Linked DNA regions of Caenorhabditis elegans. The protein of the gene in region 2 interacts with the protein of the main gene of each other region in a biochemical or structural test. Each region holds a gene or a part of one and is shown on either strand. Other genes may lie near its edges. The genes, in order: syp-4, plk-2 and sun-1.

The links.
Region 1: of the proteins of plk-2 (region 2) and syp-4, one has a biochemical effect on the other in vitro, tested with the Caenorhabditis elegans proteins (one study listed by BioGRID).
Region 3: of the proteins of plk-2 (region 2) and sun-1, one has a biochemical effect on the other in vitro, tested with the Caenorhabditis elegans proteins (one study listed by BioGRID).

What each region holds. Positions count from the first base shown.
Region 1 is NC_003279.8:6,845,055-6,851,100, reverse strand, and holds syp-4 (Synaptonemal complex protein 4), read right to left. Parts: upstream 3,591-6,046; 5' UTR 3,508-3,590; coding exon 3,442-3,507; intron 3,397-3,441; coding exon 3,300-3,396; intron 3,254-3,299; coding exon 3,085-3,253; intron 3,015-3,084; coding exon 2,731-3,014; intron 2,676-2,730; coding exon 2,470-2,675; intron 2,409-2,469; coding exon 1,829-2,408; intron 1,783-1,828; coding exon 1,639-1,782; intron 1,593-1,638; coding exon 1,321-1,592; 3' UTR 1,178-1,320; downstream 1-1,177. Other genes in the region: rpb-5 (DNA-directed RNA polymerases I, II, and III subunit RPABC1), read right to left, coding at 1-96, 142-572, 618-677; H27M09.5 (uncharacterized protein), read left to right, coding at 4,149-4,191, 4,235-5,217; dpy-14 (Nematode cuticle collagen N-terminal domain-containing protein), read right to left, coding at 6,009-6,046.
Region 2 is NC_003279.8:2,753,542-2,760,075, forward strand, and holds plk-2 (Serine/threonine-protein kinase plk-2), read right to left. Parts: upstream 4,664-6,534; coding exon 4,352-4,663; intron 4,296-4,351; coding exon 4,004-4,295; intron 3,956-4,003; coding exon 3,843-3,955; intron 3,553-3,842; coding exon 3,118-3,552; intron 3,070-3,117; coding exon 2,626-3,069; intron 2,580-2,625; coding exon 2,277-2,579; 3' UTR 2,084-2,276; downstream 1-2,083. Other genes in the region: Y71F9B.9 (3-hydroxyacyl-CoA dehydrogenase), read right to left, coding at 5,533-5,703, 5,772-6,141, 6,188-6,429. UniProt on the Caenorhabditis elegans protein: Serine/threonine-protein kinase which plays a role, during oogenesis, in chromosome pairing and synapsis, by facilitating the recruitment and attachment of meiotic chromosomes to the nuclear envelope during prophase.
Region 3 is NC_003283.11:13,190,323-13,195,989, forward strand, and holds sun-1 (Sun domain-containing protein 1), read right to left. Parts: upstream 3,217-5,667; 5' UTR 3,206-3,216; coding exon 2,824-3,205; intron 2,778-2,823; coding exon 2,674-2,777; intron 2,631-2,673; coding exon 2,427-2,630; intron 2,383-2,426; coding exon 1,963-2,382; intron 1,916-1,962; coding exon 1,604-1,915; 3' UTR 1,380-1,603; downstream 1-1,379. Other genes in the region: F57B1.1 (G-protein coupled receptors family 1 profile domain-containing protein), read right to left, coding at 3,673-3,822, 3,879-3,962, 4,009-4,161, 4,206-4,386, 4,432-4,561, 4,605-4,728, 4,784-4,927, 5,201-5,326. UniProt on the Caenorhabditis elegans protein: Involved in centrosome attachment to the nucleus. Required for zyg-12 localization to the nuclear envelope. Together with pot-1, it is required to anchor telomeres to the nuclear envelope in embryos.

The DNA.
Region 1 (6,046 bases), 4.1 Mb from region 2:
CGAATGATTTTGACAACTTGTCCACGGCGGAGACCAAAATAACGAGCGACCGGATCACATTGTTGGATACGTGGCAACTGAGAATCCTTAAGTTTGCTGAAAATATCATATTTATAATCATGTTTTAATATGAAGACTTACTATCTAGCAAGTAGTTCTGCTTTCTCTTCGGCTGTCATGACGACATGTTCTGGTACCAACTCATGTTCTGTGATGTTTACCATGAGCTCAGCCTCTAAAAAGTGCTCCAACATGTACTTTGGGGCCATGTCGCCAATGGATTGTTTGGCGCTTGGAGTCATTCCGGTTTGTACGACAATGATAGCACGGGAGATATTCTGTTCTTGCATTTGCTGGCAGATAGCTTTAATAGTTTTGATTCCAATTTTGGCGTCCTCTGGGAAGAAAACAAACATTTGATCGGCTGGATCGTCGTTGTGAGCCACGAGAATTGTCAGATCTGAGCGAGCCGGCTTTTTTTCAGAGGGACGATCTCCGTACTGCACTTTGAATGTTTCCAATGGTTGATCTAATTCATCTTGAGCTACGAGATAACCACGATCGTGAACCATCTAAATATGAACATATTATCATGGCAAATACCAAATTTTGTTTACCTGAAGAACTGTTTTACGGATTCTCCACAATCTATAGGTCTCAAGCTCGTCGTCAGCCATTATTACTGTTAGTCTCTGCAATAAACTACTTTTAAAAAGTTTTCCGCCGACATTAAAGGTTGAAAAATAAAGAACAATTCGTCTTAGTCTCATCACAATTTTAAGTGTAACTTTGAACATATAACAACCTCTTTTAATTAATAATAAACATTGAGGTTAACAGGAAAAACATAAACTATGGTATACCAACAATTTAAATTGAATAATCAGAAGGGAGATTGCTGCAATGTCTCATATTCAAATTGGTGGGAAAGAATTGAAGGAAAAAAACATGAAAATCACTAAATTTGACAGGACAATTTTCGTTTTTCGAATAAAATTCCAATGGCTAAACAAAGCTCGTTAGCGTTATACCGGAGCATCGTTCATTGCGTCGAATGCTGCTGATTTTACGAGCAAAAATTTTGCGAACATAAGCGAACTTGAGTTTGTTTCAGAATAAATATTATTTAAATAGCTATACATTTAAAGCATTAAAGTGAAAAAGAATAAAACGCAATGAGATGATCAATACTTTATATTATGTATATTTTTGCTGTTCAAAAAGAAAAAAAAGAGGCAATTTCTTGGTCCAATAAAATCTAAAATTTCTGACATTAAACGATACAAATGATACAAGAGCTGAATAATACATGATAATTTTCTAAAAGTTAAAGAACGAGGTGCTGTTTCCGCCCGCTCCAGAAGTTGCTCCGCCTTCACCGTCACCGTCAAAGTTAAAGTTGAACGATCCATCTCCACCTCCACCAGCTGCGTTACCATTTGATGCAAATCCGAACGGATCGGATTGAGTGTTTCCCGAACCCTTTCCTTCATCCTCTCCGTCATAGTTAAGGAAATCCAGATCTCCAGTAGAACCACCATTGTTCGAACCATCATCTCCTGCTCCAATTCCGTCAAAATTAAAGTCGAAGTCTATAAAAATGGAGTTTTTTTTAATTTCACGTGTTTCATAACTTACTGCCTTCACCGCCACCTTCTCCCGCTGATGTACCCTTGCTATTCCCAAAAAAGTTAAAAGAGAAGTTATTGCTTTTGTTGGAACCGTTTTCGCTCATCACTTCTTCTTCGTCTTCTACATCTAGTTGTGCTCCCACTTGTTGATCTGCGAAATGAATAACTCAATGTTTATTGCCAAGTAAAACACTTACCATCAACAAACTGAACATCATTGTCTGCCTGCTTCTCAACGATCTCTGGTTCTTGTTCCTGGGAGAGTGCAGCCTGCTCCGTGGCTAGAATGTCCTTGAATACAGATGGTTGCTCAATTTCTTCTTGCTCACCGACTTCCATGGGACTTTCCTCGGGTACTTCCTGATCTACTTCCATTACATCCATCGATTGATCGGCATGATTTTCATGATTGCTAAGTTCTTCTTCTTCTTCTTCGGGCTCATCTAGGATTGATTCCGGTTGGGGGCTTGGAACTGCTGAAGTGTCTAACTCTTCTGCATCCCGTTGAACGACGCTGTCTTGACGAGTAGGCTGAATGGTAATTTGTGGTACCACCTCCCTTATTTCAGTGACATTTGGTGGTTCAATATGAACGCTTTCTTCAGCTGAATGTTCGATTACAGGTTCTTCGCCAACTTCCATCGGATGCTGTGTCGGAATTGGCTCTTTGGAGAAGGAAGATTTCGCGGTTTCGCTTATCTGTGGAGTGATCGAAACTTCCGAACTTTTCGAAGTTAACTGTTGTACGGCCTTTTCTGGCTTATTTGTTTTGTCCATCTGTAAATATTATTTCAGTTTGAAAAGGCAATTAGGCTTTATAAAATTTAGTTTTACATACCGACGCGAGAATAAAAGAACGATCAAACTGCATTGTTTCATCCAGACTGAGACTTCCACAAATTCGTCGATTCTCTTCCTCGTCCTTCAATGTTTCCAAACTTCTTTTCGATTTGTCTAACTTCGGCATCAAGGATTGATGGAGTTTATAGTGTTTCGCACACTCAATTACCGTCTTTTCGAACGATTTCTTTGATTCGGCTTTCACTGAAAATTTGATATATTACAAAAAATTAAGTGTATTCGATGCTTCATAACTTACATGTAGCTTTCTTGGTACGGATATCATCGGCAAGACACTTCTTCTGATCTCTGAGCCCCTCCACTACTTCTTCTAGAATTCTTTTCTCCTCTTCCATTGCACGAAGCTTATGTACGTCGGATGAATTTTCTAGATTTTTCAGAATTGAGGCACTTTTCACGATGAGCTCCTCAGTGGCCCTGGTTGTGTCCACAAGCCGCTGTTCGTTGATTTCCTGGACTCGTCGAGCCTCGGTGTTCGTCTCTTGCACGGATTTTCGTAGGTCGTCACATTCGTAATATTTCCTTTAAAAAATTGAATGGTTTACTCGAGTCAAAATAGACATTGTGTTACTTTTAATGTGAACAAACTTACTGCTGAACTGTCAGCTTCTTTTCTTGAACCTGCCGAGATAGCTCAGCAATGTGTAGACGATCTTCCATTACTGTCAGCGATGTTTGATAAGCTGATTTCAGCTTCTCCTGGAGTTTCCCACTTTTTGCCAACTCGGCGCGTCTCTCATCTAATGCATAGATTCCTTTGGCTAAATAATAAAATAGTGGAAAACGATGAACCATCGGGAATCTTACCTTCGGATACCATTTTCGTCAGCAACTTTGCCAACATTTTTCTTCCTTCCGTGTTGATCATGTTTCGCTCCACAAGTTGATTTGATTGGCGAAGAAACTGAAAGAAGAGGATTACAACTGATTGTCTGTAGATTAAAAATACCTCATGGCATCGCAGAACTTTTGGATTTTTCTCATTTGGACGTACTTGTAGCGTCGGAAACGACATTATTTCGCCTTGAAATAAAAAATTTTGATGAAAAATGAGGTTACCGTACCGAACAAAGAAACAGAAAAGTTCAGTTTTCTCCTAAAAGCAACAAACTTTTGAATGGAGATTTTTTTCGTGCCTGCACATCAAAGGTTACTGTACCTGCAATTGCTCGTAAACTTAAATGTAAAATACGCAAATTGCCATCACGTCAAAATCCGCCTCATATACACTAAACACAGTGAGTAGCGGAGACCGCAAAATGTCGGGACACCCTATCGCACTACTCCCTCCACCCGCAGGCTCATAAACTTACCTGGCTGGGGGTTATTTCGCGATCACAAAGGCGGAATCCCCATGGTTAGGCCTACCCATTGCACTTTTGGTGCGGGCTGACCTGTGTGGCAGTCTCGAGTTGAGATTCGCCAACAGCTTAATTTTTGCGTATCGGGGCTGCGTGCGCGCGGCCCTGAAAAGTGGGTCTATATGTAACACCTAGCCGATGTTCTTTTACGATATTTGGGAGATTTGAAAGTTCACTGAAGGATGGAAAAGACGCTAATATAAATTTATCAAAATTAAACGTCTCGAACTGGATGTGTCGTTTGCATAGCCTTTTCATTTGATCAAAACATCTTTATTTCTATTTTGTTCACAAAATGAGTTCATCGCCAGAACAAATGGCCGAGAATGTGAATTACCGTAGGTTTACTCATTGATTCAGCTTTTGAAGCAACTTTTACAGTATGTCTTATGGTGACTGCCACTTTAACTAGTGCAACGATGGTGCTTGGATGTACTACCGGGCATCGTGAGATGTTCCGACGAAAAGGTTCAAAGTCAAAGAAATCAATGAAATCGAAGAAATCTAAAAAATCTAAGAGAGAAAAGAAGGGTGATAATGAAGATGAAAAGGAAAATTATAAGGAAGATGGAAATGATCACAATAATGGATCTGACAGGAAAGAAGGTTCTAAAAAGAAAAAATCAAGACAGAAGAGTATGAAAAGCTCACGGAGCAAACGGAAGAAGAGACACAGTTCTGGAAGTAAACGTGGCAGTTCTAGGGACAAAAGAGATAGCTCTCGGAGCAAGAAAAATAATGTATCGGCTCATAAAATGGAGAAATCTCCAAGTAGACGTGATTTTGGAAGAGGAGGTGATAGAGATAGAGATAGAGATGGAGAATCCAGAAGAAGTAGTTATAGGGATGAAAAGAGAAGACGTGAAAATTCACATAAGTCAGCCAGATCAATGCCTGTAGAAAAAAGCAACAGCTACCGAAATTACAAGAAATACGATGACAAGGTGGAGGATCCACCACATGAGAAACGAAATTCTGATGACGTTCGTTCAGTTTATGTGGATACTGGAAAATCAACATATTCCACTGCTGTAAAGCCATCAAATGATAATCCAAAATCATATTATTCTCTTCCACCAACATCTCCTTCAAAGGAAAAACCCACAAAAAAGATTTCACGAAATTATTTGGCTGATCCATTGTCTCCGGGGGATAAGAAATCAGCAAAAATCTCAACGAAAAAGTTGATTTCTACAATAAAACCACCAAAAACGCTTTCTAAAAAATCAGCAAAATCTACGAGAAATCCATTGAAATCGCCTTCCAAAAGGTCTAATAGTGTGAGACCAGAAAAGAAAAATAAAATCATTTCGAAGAAGGCGTCCAAGAAAAATGTTGAATCGAGAAAATCAAAGAGAAAGTGAACATGTGGTTAGTTTTTCTTTTATTGTATTTTGGAAAAAGAGTTATATTTAATATCGTAAGTAGTCTCGTGAAATCACTTTAAGGACACAGGATATATGATTTTTTAAAGTGGGTCCCACCACGATCTCAGTCTCAGCCAAATTTCACGGATTCACGAAATCACGATTGCTAGAAATGGTTATATCTCGTAATTTTGTGAAAAAGAAGTACCTTCGTCTCTAGGTGTTTGGGGGAATTTTTGATTCATAAAATTTCAGTATTTGTACAGTTTAGTTGACGATGGTGTAGAGCTACTGTCAAATAATCGAATATCAGAAAAATACATTACAAAAAATTTCCAGATTTTTGTAAATTTCTATTTAGTCTAAGTTTTGTTGGTGAACTGCCAAATTAAAAAAGGTGATATTTTCCAGAAATTGAAATCAATTTTGCATGTCTTACTAGTTAATCTCTAAAATGTTTGAATGCAATTATTTCGAACATGGTTAGAATATGAAATTCGTAGAAAAAATTGATCGACTTCCAAAATTATGAGATCATTTTTGTCAACAAATAAAAAAGTTCAAAAGTGTTACTTTTCTAAGATTTTCCCCTCTTAGCACATCTTCTATAATATTTTCAGATTTCTGGATCAATCGTCTCCTGCTGTACAAGTGAACTGATATTCTTCCGATTATTTTAAAAGTTGAAATGAATATTCCAACTATTACATGTTTTGAACTTTGATATGCAACACAGAATTTTTTGAATAAATAATAATTTATTGAAATAACACAGAATCCACGAGAAATTAATAGCCTGGTGGAGTTCTTGGAGTTGGGCAATGGA
Region 2 (6,534 bases):
AGAAACGATGAGGGGAGTGGCCGAGTGTTTGTATTTCGGCGGCCCCGCTGGAAATTTTGTATTACGGAGACGCAAACGCGCTCCACGGTCACATAAAAACGCTCCGCCTCCAAAAGTTGGGTCTCGTTAGGAATTGGCGGCAAAATCGTAATTTCGAATGTTTTAAATTATTTTTTCTACTTTTTTGTCGTGATTTTTATTCCGGAACTGAAATAAATAAATAAAAATCACGAAAAATAACAAAAAAACACATGAAAAAAATCGAAAAAGTTTAAATTTAAAGCTTTCCCGCCAAGCAGTCAACGAGGCCATTGGAGCTCGATTGCATCGTGATTTCAAAATATCTCATTTAAAATGCTCATTCTCAGCGCTTTTTTCGACATTTTTGGGCATTTTTCGAGGAAAACAAACATTTTAAATTGAAAGATCACCGAATGTAGGCCCAGGCACTCAGGCAGGCATTTTCCTATCCTTTATGACCTTCTACAGAGCCAACCTAACGTAAAGTGGTCGAAAAATAATAAGAATACCACATATTTCAAATGGAAATTGATGGAGGTCAACACAACGGACACACAGTGACAAGATAATTTGACACCAATCTCGGAACGGGGGGACCCAGAAAAGAGCCAATACATCATTTTAATTCCTTTTGTGTGGCTCAGGTGGGTGAGAGGGTTCGTTTCCGGAAGAAAAGTGGAACCGGCTGCTGTTCGGCGGTCGCATAACACTTGAGAACCCACTGAGTAACTTGAGAATAGACGGGGAAAGAAACGGGGGTAAGAGGTTCCTCTAATTGGAATAACCGTTTTGGAATTTCGAATGCTCCGTGAGCCCGCCTGAGCGAAAAGAGCTCGCCGGAAAGATATTGGGAAGTAAAGAAGTGAAGCGGAAGGAGATATTCTCGAGGTTTAGTTTAATAAATTCGCATTAAAATTTGTTAAGCACTAATAATCTCAACACTAAAATTTTGCTCGCCGCTTCAAAACTAAAAATTTAGAGTTTTTGGGATTTTGAAAATTTCTTTTTTATTGCCTAGTTGTCGAAAAATGCGATTTTCACAGTAAACAATGGTCCTGGCACGATCGAAGAAAATTTTTAAACTACCGTAGTAAAAGTTCGACACGAAATTTTTTTTTATTATAAGCAAAAAGGTGAGCCAGTGGAATTTTCATCGATTTTTCATTTTTTTTGTTTATTTTAATGAAAAATTGTTTTAATTATTTTGAAAAACCAATAAAAATTCTGCAACAACAGAAGTTTGAATCTACAGTAGTCTTTAAAGGCGCACACCTTTTTAAATTTTACAAAAATTTGTCGTGTCGAGACCAGGCAGTGTTTTTGGCGCCAAAATCGAAAAAAAACATTATTTGAAAAATAAGAATTCGATTTTCGACCTTTTTCTTAAAAATCTCGTTTTTCTCCAAAAATTGAAAAAAATCCCGTAGAAAAAGAACCATGCGCCTTTAAAGAATACTGTATTTTTAAAAATGATCCTAAAAACTACCGTAATCCTTTAAAGGAGCTAACGTTAGTAAATCGAGCCTTCGAAAACTGATAAAATTTCAATTCCCACGACGGCATCGTAATCTCTAGTGAGCGGCGGAATATATATATATATATATGGGAAATCATCATAAAACAAGTTTACACAGTTACGAGACCTCTCTGAAGGAGACACTGCGGTAAACAAAACTACGGAGGAGCACGGATTCGTATCTTTTTTGAAGAGAGAGAGTGAAGCGGGAAAGAAAAGGGCAATCCGAAAACGAGGTGAATCGGATTTGACGAAGTAGGCACATACACGACGGAAGTAAAGAACGAGAAGTGCTTGATACGATTTGAAAATAATGTTTTCTCCTCGTCTTGCTCGTAGATTTTTCTGGAAAAAAAGTTTGGAATTGAACTTAATAAATGGGGGGGGGGGGGGGGTACATGTGAATAAATTCGGGCTCCAAAATGAATTGATGAAGTGGAACATGGAGACAAATGCGATTACCCACCACCCCCCGGCTGATGAGCATGATGACACCCGAATGTTTGTTCGTTCTCTTCTAAATTAGGAAGTGACATACATAGAGAGACGAAATGAATATTTAATACGAGAGGGGGAAGGGGAAAAATAAACGTTAAAAATAAAAAAGAAAGGCAATACAAAAGGAAGGCAATTTGCTTGGATAAAATTGATTACAAACACGGACATAAAAGTGTATTGATCAGAGAAATATCAAAACCGGTAAGGGGAAATGAGCTCAATTTGTTGCAGATCGATTTTCTTAGCGACGCGAGGATGATGGATAAGCCGGCTGGATATCTGCTGCAGATTCCAAACGGACGTTGCTGGAAGTCGATGGAAGGCGTACTGCATTGGCCGCCGGTGCATTGTGTTTCGTCTCCTCTTTCGTGTGTTCCTCGACGAGTCGTTGGATCATACACTTGGCGTATTGAATTCGATGGAGGAACTTCTCCGGACATCCATTTTCAGCCAAGTGTGAAAATTTGTACGTGAACATGCGCTTGTTCTCATCGATGAAGGTGACAGCTTGCATGAGTGGACACAACACCATTTTAATGTGATCCTGAAAAAATAATAATTGTTATATTAAAATTAACGAGAACTCTTACATTGAAAAAGTTTATCTGAACAGTGCCGTTGGAGAGATGAAGCACAATTGCCGACTTTGTTCGGAACCAGACACGAAGCGTCGGAAGGCGAGCCAAATCGTCTCCTACTTTCCGAGTAACTTGCTGTCCTGCTTGCAACAAATGATCATTCATGTACGATCGGAAATACTTGAGAAGTGTCATCTTCTTCTGTAGGCCCGATGGTATTGCGCTTTCCATGTCGAAATAGTGCTCCTTCTCGGTTTTCTCAATATATGTCAGCTGGGTGCCAGCAGTGTCCAGCATGATTCTTGAATTATCGTTGAAAAGTACTCCAACCGAATTATCGCAAAGCTGATAACCGATTCCATACTTATCAGAGTAGTCAACCCATTTGGAAATCCAGAACACGGGAAGAGCTTCAGGCGATTGATACGAGTCTAGAGCGGCTTCTGCATCATCAATCTGAAAGTAAAATTTTTGCTATTTAAATTAAAAATGTCATTTCCTTACATCTGCGGTTGGCGTAGCCAATAAATCGTTGACTTGAGCGAGTAAATTCGACAAATAGCAGTCAGTCGGCTGTCGGTACGCCTCCATTCGGTGAGTTTGCTGCCGTTCAGAATTTCTCGACACGAGATGAGCCGGAATCGCAGAAAGTCCGGATCTACCAGCTTGGTGCGGACCACGCTGATCGATCGTGCCACTTGGAGACACATTTTCCTCTGCGTATTCATCATCGTTTAAGTGTGGGACCATCGTGAGGCACGAAACTGGAAGACGAGCAGGCATGAAGCCGGATTTGAAGAAGTGATCTCGGCATACAGCTCTGGCATTTGGACGGCGACTCGGCACTGGGTCAAGAAGCACACGAATGAGTTGAGATGCTGCAGCACTCGCCGATGTTGGGATGACGTAGTTGTTGTTTTTGATGCGCGAATAGGTCTCCTGAAATATGAAATATGATGAATTTTGCCGCAAAGAAATATAGGCGTGGCGTAATTTCGCAACTCTGCGGCAACGTTTTTTTCCTCATTTTTTAGTTGTTTTTTTTTTCAATAAAGTTTCTTTTTATCATCATTTTCAGATGAAAATGTTATCCAATCAAATTCTCATCAGATTGTGAGGATATTTCATGTTTTTACAACCAATTTAGCATAAAATAGGATAACGTTTCAAAAAAGGACATGAAACAATAAAATCGGAGAAACCGTGCCGCCTCATTGCTGCTTCTTTACCTCCAAACTCTTCGACTCGAATGGCGGATGGCCGAAAAGAAGAATGTAGAGAATGCAACCAATCGCCCATAAATCGACTTCAAAGGAGTGCCCGATTTTGTTCAAAACTTCAGCTGAAAAATAAATATTCGATTTTTGCAACGATTCTGCGTGAAACATACGTGCAATGTAATTTGGAGTTCCACAGAGTGTCTTCTTTCTCTCATCATTATCACAAGTTGTTGCCAACCCGAAATCGCCGATTTTCACTTGCAATTCATCATTGAGGAAGAGATTTCCGAGCTTCAAATCACGATGTACAATCTTTAAATTGTGCAAGTAGAGCACACCTTCCACGATTTGATATGTAAAGTAGCGGGCTTCAGGCTCTGTGACCGCTTTTCGTCGCTTATGCAGCTCCATCAACGATCTTCTTGGACACAATTCCAGCGTGATGTAGACGTTTGATTTATCCTGGAATTTTTTTAAAAATAATTAATTAATTAATACCTAATTAATAATGTACAAACCTCGAAGAAGTGATATAATTTCACAACATTGCGATGTTGGAGGTTCCTATGAATCTGCACTTCTTGAGCCATTTTGTCTCTCTGATACTGCTTGATAAGCAGCGCTTTCGGGACGACTTTTCCAGCAAACAGCTCGCCTGTAGACTTGTTCCGCAGCTCGTAGCAATGTGCGAATCCTCCTTTTCCCAAAAATTTGCCTTTTTCATAACGAGTCTTGCGTTCTCCATCGAGAATCACGTCTGGAACATCTGGCGGCGCCTTCTCCTTCTTCTGGGACTTTACCCTTGCTGCAGACGGCTGTACACGCTGCATCTGAAAAGTCGAAATGTACTGTGAAATTTGAAAAAGTAAGAGGAACACGAGAAAAAAAAAATGTCACACGGCGAAAAGAAATGAACAACGACGGAAAAAGGCAATTAATCTAGCACCGACCTTCACCCGGAATGCGCCGACAGCGCCAGGCTAAGAACAACGAGAACAATGATAAATTGTCAGCTGTGTTTATGGGCCATTTCAGTGATTATCATGATATATTGACGGGAAAAGGACACAAAAATTACGGAAATAGGGTTCAAATACCCTTTTCTATCCCGTTTTCTAATTTTAATATACGCGAGAATGTTCATTTTAGTGCTTTTTTCGTTTTCAGGGTTGAAAAACAACTTTTTATTATAAAATTGACGGGGTAAAGAAGGATTTATACCAGAATTCGTTGATAATATCTCGAAAAATCGATGAATTTCCCATTTTAAAACGAAAATTAGGAGAAAATCAACGAAAAACACGTGTGATTTTTCAAAAAACAAAGCTGCCCGCGCGCGGGTCTCGCAACGATCGCGCCTGGGTACGGTAGTCCGAACGATTTACGAGCCTCGAAAATTATTGATTTTTCTGAAAATCGAATTACATAATTAATTAATTTAATGATTGCAAAATGTTTCCATTGAATTTTGCAAAACATTTTGAAACACAAAATCTATAATTATCAATTCCCGTGCATGTAATTACCGGTTTAGTGGTCAACTGTGTGTCCTTCGCGTGATTTTTATCGTATTTTTGCTGTTACATAGATTTGTATCTTGTTACGACATTTTTGCGCAATGAAATATGTCATAAATATCTCAAAAAAAGGGAGTATTTTTGTGCATTTATTGACAAAATAAATTCAATAAGAGGAAAAATTAAAGATTCAGGTCCTTCTTCAGCTTGGCAATTTCCACGAGCTTCTCTTCTCTCTCCGCTTGATGTTTTCGAATATTCAAAGTGCTCATTTTCGGCTCCAGCTCTTCTTCAAGCTTATTAATGACTTTCTCGTCTGTGAAATCTGGAATCGGCCCCATATCCTTCAGGACCTGGAAATGCTAGCGGAAATAAAAATAAATAAAATAAAAATAAAAAGCACAAGCTTCAAGCTCCTTACCGCCGTAATTCCAGCCGCATATCTTTTAAAATAATCTCTGACACCAAACGCGTTCAAATGAACCGTTTCACAAGTCCCATTGAACGCATATCTCGGCCCTAGACCAGCTGACATCACCGCATCCACATCATTCACGCCAATGACGCCATCGGCTACCAAACGCCAGGTTTCTGCTAGCAAAGCGAATTGTAGACGATTCACAACGAATCCCAAAACTTCTTTCTTCAGCTTCACCGGCTCCTGCTTCACAGATCGCATGATCTCTGCAGCTCTATCTACAGTATCCTGTGAGGTCCACGGAGCAGGAACAAGCTCGGTAAGAGGAAGGAAGAGCGGAGGATTGACGGGGTGGACGATAAGACAACGTTCCCTGAATTAATGTTAATAGAAATAAGATAACAAAGAAGTCTATTTACTTATTTATCAGACCATCAGTGAACTTGGACGCTGGAATTGTTGACGTACTACTTGCAAGGATCGTTGTAGGATCCGCGATCTCATCAATAACTTTGTAGAATTGAATTCGAAAATTTAAATCTTCAAGTGCAGATTCCTGCATATAAATTGCATTCTTCATAACCTCATTCAACGATGTAGTGGTAGAAACTCGAAGGAGAGCCTCATCAGCTGATAGATTGCCTCTTTGAAGGCCATGCTCCTAAATTTTTTTTTCTTTTTCTTGTTAGTCGGAAACGCGAAATTCCGAGAATGCGTATTGCGCAACATATTTGACGCGCAAAATATAAAAATATCCCGCAGCGAA
Region 3 (5,667 bases), on a different chromosome or scaffold from region 2:
TTTTCGGCCTTAAAAAGTAGTCCTCTTTTTGCTCAAAATGCCGTTTTTCGTGTGTAGAAGTGGCTACATAAAAGTTTGGAACTGCAGCCGCCGTTCGAATGGCCGATTGGTGAACTCTCGTGCTCATTAATCTAAAGGTCACGGGTTCGTTCCCCAATAGGTATTAATTTTTTTTTGAATTTTTCCTCTAGCATGAAATATGCACAAAAACACGGTTTCTTTCGTTTTTTGGTAACTTCGGAATAAATTTTTTGGTTCCTGAGAATCATAAAAGTAATTTGGAAAATTTTTGGAAGTTTTCTTTTTTTGATAAATTTTCACTTTTTTCCCACCTGATATATGCACATTTTTTTCTTCAAAAATAATTTTTCAAAATTTTTTCAAAAAGTGTTTGGTTTGAAAGAGCAGCATTAGTTTGGATATTTCTACGATTTTGGAGGATCAAATGTCATTTTTAGGAGAAAACCACTGTTGTTTTCTCTAGAGTTTTTCACGAAAAGGACTTACTTTCAAAGACTTCCAGCTCCGTTGACGGGTAAAATAAAAAAAAGTTGTCAACTGCAAAGTTGTTTTAAAAGTACCAATAAACAAATTGTCAGTTGAATCTACTCTGCTAAATTTTATGGGTAAAGAGATATAGCTAATCGAAGTGAAGCTTTAACTTACGTTAGTAAGTTAAAGCTAAAGTTAGCAGAGTAAATTCAATTGACAATTTGTTTATTGGTACTTTTAAAACAACTTTGCAGTTGACAACTTTTTTTTATTTTACCCGTCAACGGAGCTGGAAGTCTTTGAAAGTAAGTCCTTTTCGTGAAAAACTCTAGAGAAAACAACAGTGGTTTTCTCCTAAAAATGACATTTGATCCTCCAAAATCGTAGAAATATCCAAACTAATGCTGCTCTTTCAAACCAAACACTTTTTGAAAAAATTTTGAAAAATTATTTTTGAAGAAAAAAAATGTGCATATATCAGGTGGGAAAAAAGTGAAAATTTATCAAAAAAAGAAAACTTCCAAAAAGTTTCCAAATTACTTTTATGATTCCCAGGAACCAAAAAATTTATTCCGAAGTTACCAAAAAACGAAAGAAACCGTGTTTTTGTGCATATTTCATGCTAGAGGAAAAATTCAAAAAAACGAAAACGGCACTTTGAGCAAAAAGAGGACTACTTTTTAAGGCCGAAAATTTCAGCTTTGGGGCAGAGTTAAGCAGATTCCAAAAAATGATTTTTGTAGCCAAAGACCTCATCTGTCATTTAAAGTTTGTTTTGTCCTCCTAGCGATTGCAGGGGTAACACCATTCCCTAGTTAGCAGATGCGAAGTTTTCTCTTGTAATCACCACTTCCCTGCTGCTCTCGTGCTTAAAATTCAGAACACAATTTAAAACTTTGAAACTTTAGATTAGAACTTTCAAGAAATAAACAGAACATGACACATTAATAAAAAATGAATAAAGCAATGAAATACAAACGGTAACGTGGATAGTAAAGCGGGACAAAACATTTGCAAACGATTTCAAAGAAGCAATATTGAGATTCATAGTCAGTGGGGAACGTGAAAATGATATAAAAACAAGTTGGGCAGGAACAATAATACGGCGTTTCTATGCGGTTTCTGATACAGAGTTAACAATTGCAGATTCCAACTTTGATTCAGTTCCATTATCCGTCATTGGTTGCGTTTCCTTTGGTGGATCGACTGGTTCCCCGTAAACACGAATCAAATAAGCACATGTCTTTGGCATATCTCCATGATTTTCGCGGAAACGGAATTGCACGTGATTGATCGGTGAGTGATTTTGAATTGTTGGCACCGAACAGAATTGTTCTTGCTCGTCATAACTTCCATCACGTTCCTTATATTCACAGTTGGCGACAAGAGGCTGCCATTTGGTGCAACATGAGTCCGTGCATGCCTGAAAATATATAATTAGTTACTGAACACAATTTTTATATAGCTTACCACGACATCGTAGAGCTTCGGGGCATGATTTGGAACAATCCCGCTCCATCTGACATGTTGATACGAGACACTTTTCGGTATGACAAATCTAGCGAGCTTCACGGTCAAGGTCGCACGTTTATCGTATGTGCACCACGCTTCTCCTGGGGATAGAACGTCGCGATCAAGCAAAGCATATCCCTCCTGGAACGTTCCGAAGTATGACATGAAATCGTAGAAAAATCCATCTTTTGCAGAAACTGGACGTGATGAACAAGAATGATCGATTGATGCACCAATAAGACTGTTGGCAACATTCACTCCAAGAAGTGCTCGGCGTGTTATGTGCATTGGTTGAAGCTGGCTAGAGGGAGGAAGCGATGCAGTTGGTGCGGTCTCTGGAGCCTTTTCTGGTGTACTGTGGATGATCTTTGTGCTTTTCTGAAAAATTAGCATTGGGAAAATATATTAAATTTGAAAATTACCGCATCATCGATTTCCTTTTTCATTTGTTGCAAAGCATCGCTAATTTCTGCTTGCCATAATTTGATCTGTTTGAGCTCTTCGATTGCCGACTCTTTCCATCCTTTGCTGTGTTCCAAAACGTTTTCCAGTAGTTTTTCCAAATGGTCAGTTTTGAAATCGAGTTGTTTATCGTGCGCCGAAAACTCTGCTCGGAGATTGGAAATCTAAATAATATAAAAATTTATTCTGACTGTTCATTCATTGTACCGTCTGATGAAATTTCTGTTTTTCGGACGCCCAATTCGCGTCTTTATCCGCGTAGGATCCTTCTGAATTATGATGCGTTCCATCGAATAAACAATCACGAGCATCTGAAATTATTCATTTAGATACCCACAACACGTTTTCCCGACTCACACTTGTATAACATAGCAAAAAGAACAACAGCCATAAGAGTACGTTTAAACTGGGCCCACGTTGGAACAAAACGACGCCGAACCATGCGAATGCGATATTCCAGCCAGTCATACCACATTTCCTTCTTCATCGAAGTGATTTCTTTGTAGCTAAAATGCTCCTTGTAAATAAATTTCGAAGAGTTCAGATCAATTTCAGAATCGTCAGCCGACTCATGAAATCTCTGAATGGTGCCTGTAATCGTTCCAGGTTGGGAATCTCGCCGAGTAACTGGAGTAGATGTGTCTAGCGGCTGATGAACTCCTGTTCGAGATACAGAACGGGTAACTGGAGGACTGTGGCGATTCGAAAACTGCGGTGAGATGGTGTGTCGCAACGCCATACCGAGTAGATCTGGAAGTTTAGAAAGAAATTGAATGAAAAAAGCCTGTGCGGAATTGTAATTTGGAAATTAAGAAACAATGCAATATTTTCAAGAGCGAGAAAGTTGTTTCAATTAAAATAATTATGAATTAATTGAAGTTTAACTGCACTTTACAAAGCATAAACTTTTTAAATGCTTTATATTTGTCTTAAAACAAAAAATATCCGAACTGAATTCGAAAAATGAAAAAAAAAACCAGAAAATCGAAACCTCGAATTCAAGCAGCCCCGCACTGATTGCGGCAATTCTCAAGATCGCGTCGAGACCCTCACCGCTGACGTATTGCACCTTTGAAAGTTACTGTAGCAGTAAATATGATTTGGCAGGCACAGAAATTTTTTGCGAAGAGTTTGTTCTCATTAAAACACGAGTATTTATTCTAATATTGGCAAAAACATTTTAGAAACTGATTTTAGTAATAAAAATTAAATCGCTCTCGAAGTTTGCCTTCTCTGCTGTGAGTTTGAATTGGCTTGTGAAGTAGTGAGAGAAACTCTCACAGAAACGAGTTTCCGAATTTCTTTTGAAGTGAAAAAGAAGAAGCACGGCGTTGCAGCTCCAGCGCATATTTCAGTCTGCAATACGGATAATTTTTCAAGATTGCTATGGAAAAATTAAAAAAAAAACGAACCGTATTAATAATCCGTTTTATCAAAAATGCAGTTGCTATTTCAAACTTGATAGTTTGGCATAATAGGAAAACCGACGATGAAATCTGGAAATTTTTTTTTTCATTTTTTCGTTCTTAAATCAAACAGGACCTGAAATAGGCAAAATATAAAAACCGCCTGTTTCAAAATAGTGAGCTCGTATTTGTTGAGTGCTGCTTTTTTCATTAAAATTATTTTAATGATAATTGCAATATATATTCCCAGAATAAATATTGGAAGAATAAATTGTATTAAAATTTCAATCTGAAAGTGTTTATTGGACTGGATATTTTCATTATTGTGCTTACAGTTTGTACAATTGTCGGTGGAGCAATATTTTTAATTCCACTACTAGTTTCACAACTCAAAACATAATGTTTCATTAAAATTCGTTCATCATATTCATATTGGCAGTTATTCATAATCATAGACACTACAACAAAAGCAGACAATACCCATACCATTCCCATCCAAAAGTATGTTATCGGTCTGGGATTAGTAGATTAAAATTCCAAAAATTTCAGAATTCCCTACTTTTCAAAAGCAATATCCGTGTGTTTTTTGAAAAAGAACACAAACATCCGATGTATTGCAATTATCAAGTTTGAGAAAAGTATTGCATTATGACAGAAATCGATTACATTGGACATGTAGTAGAATGAGGCTGAACAAAAAAAATGATTCAAAATTGATTCAAAAAAAGTTACCGGATTGAACGAATTCCTTGGTTATCAAAGCAAATAATGTCGCTGGTACATTAATTAAAAAGTTTAAAGAAGACATTATGAAAACAGAAATGGTCAGTTGAGTTAAAAACCAGAAAAATATCATCTGAATTTTTTCAATAAATTCCTTGGAAAAAGTTATGTAAAACGTGTTTCATTACTTTTTTGAAATGGCTCCAAAGGATCACAGAAAGAGCCAAGAAAACTCCAGTCAAAATAGTTGATGCAAATGTGGACATAACAAACAAGGTGATAATAAAATAATAGAGCCCATCCTTATCTTCTGGTGGAATGTTACCAGCTACCTTACAAGTTAAACATTTAATCTGCGACAACTATTTCATTTCAGCTAGTGTTTTTTCAAGCTCAACTGGTTCAAAACTGAATACCAGCGAAATTTTTCGAATTATTTTTTGAAAAGCTGAAGTTGTGGTAATTTACCAAAATTTTAACAAAGTTCAATCTAAAACATATTGGAGTTTAGAAATGATATTTGCAAAATTTTAAAAGATGAAAAAAGTTTTGAATTCAGGTTTCACCAATATTATAATTTGAAAATAGATTTTAGACCAACTGACCTCTCCAAGAACCGTGTCTTTTAAATCAGATAAATTCTTTCTTCTAATAAAGTCATTAGAAAATGGATCATCTCCTTGTCCATATACTACATTTAAAAATATCAAAAAGTAGAGTAGAAGAAACATAGATTTCATAAACTCAACAAATTGAGTACGCTGATTATTTTGGAAAACTGAAAAGCAGGTGGAGTCAAGAAATCAATTAATTTCAAAAACTCAACACATGACTAGATGAAATTTTCAGCTTTGATGTGAGATCATGACGAGATTAGGAATTGGATGAATATCAAGTAGCACTTTGAATAAAATTGTTTTGAATGTTATATTTTGTGTAGATAAGTTGAAACTAGACATTCCACCCAATTGAGCTCTGGAGCGCCACACTTCACAAGCGTTAACGTTCCGAATTAAACGTTTCACATATTGGATTTTTCTACGTGCCCAAAAAATTAACAATCATTAATTGA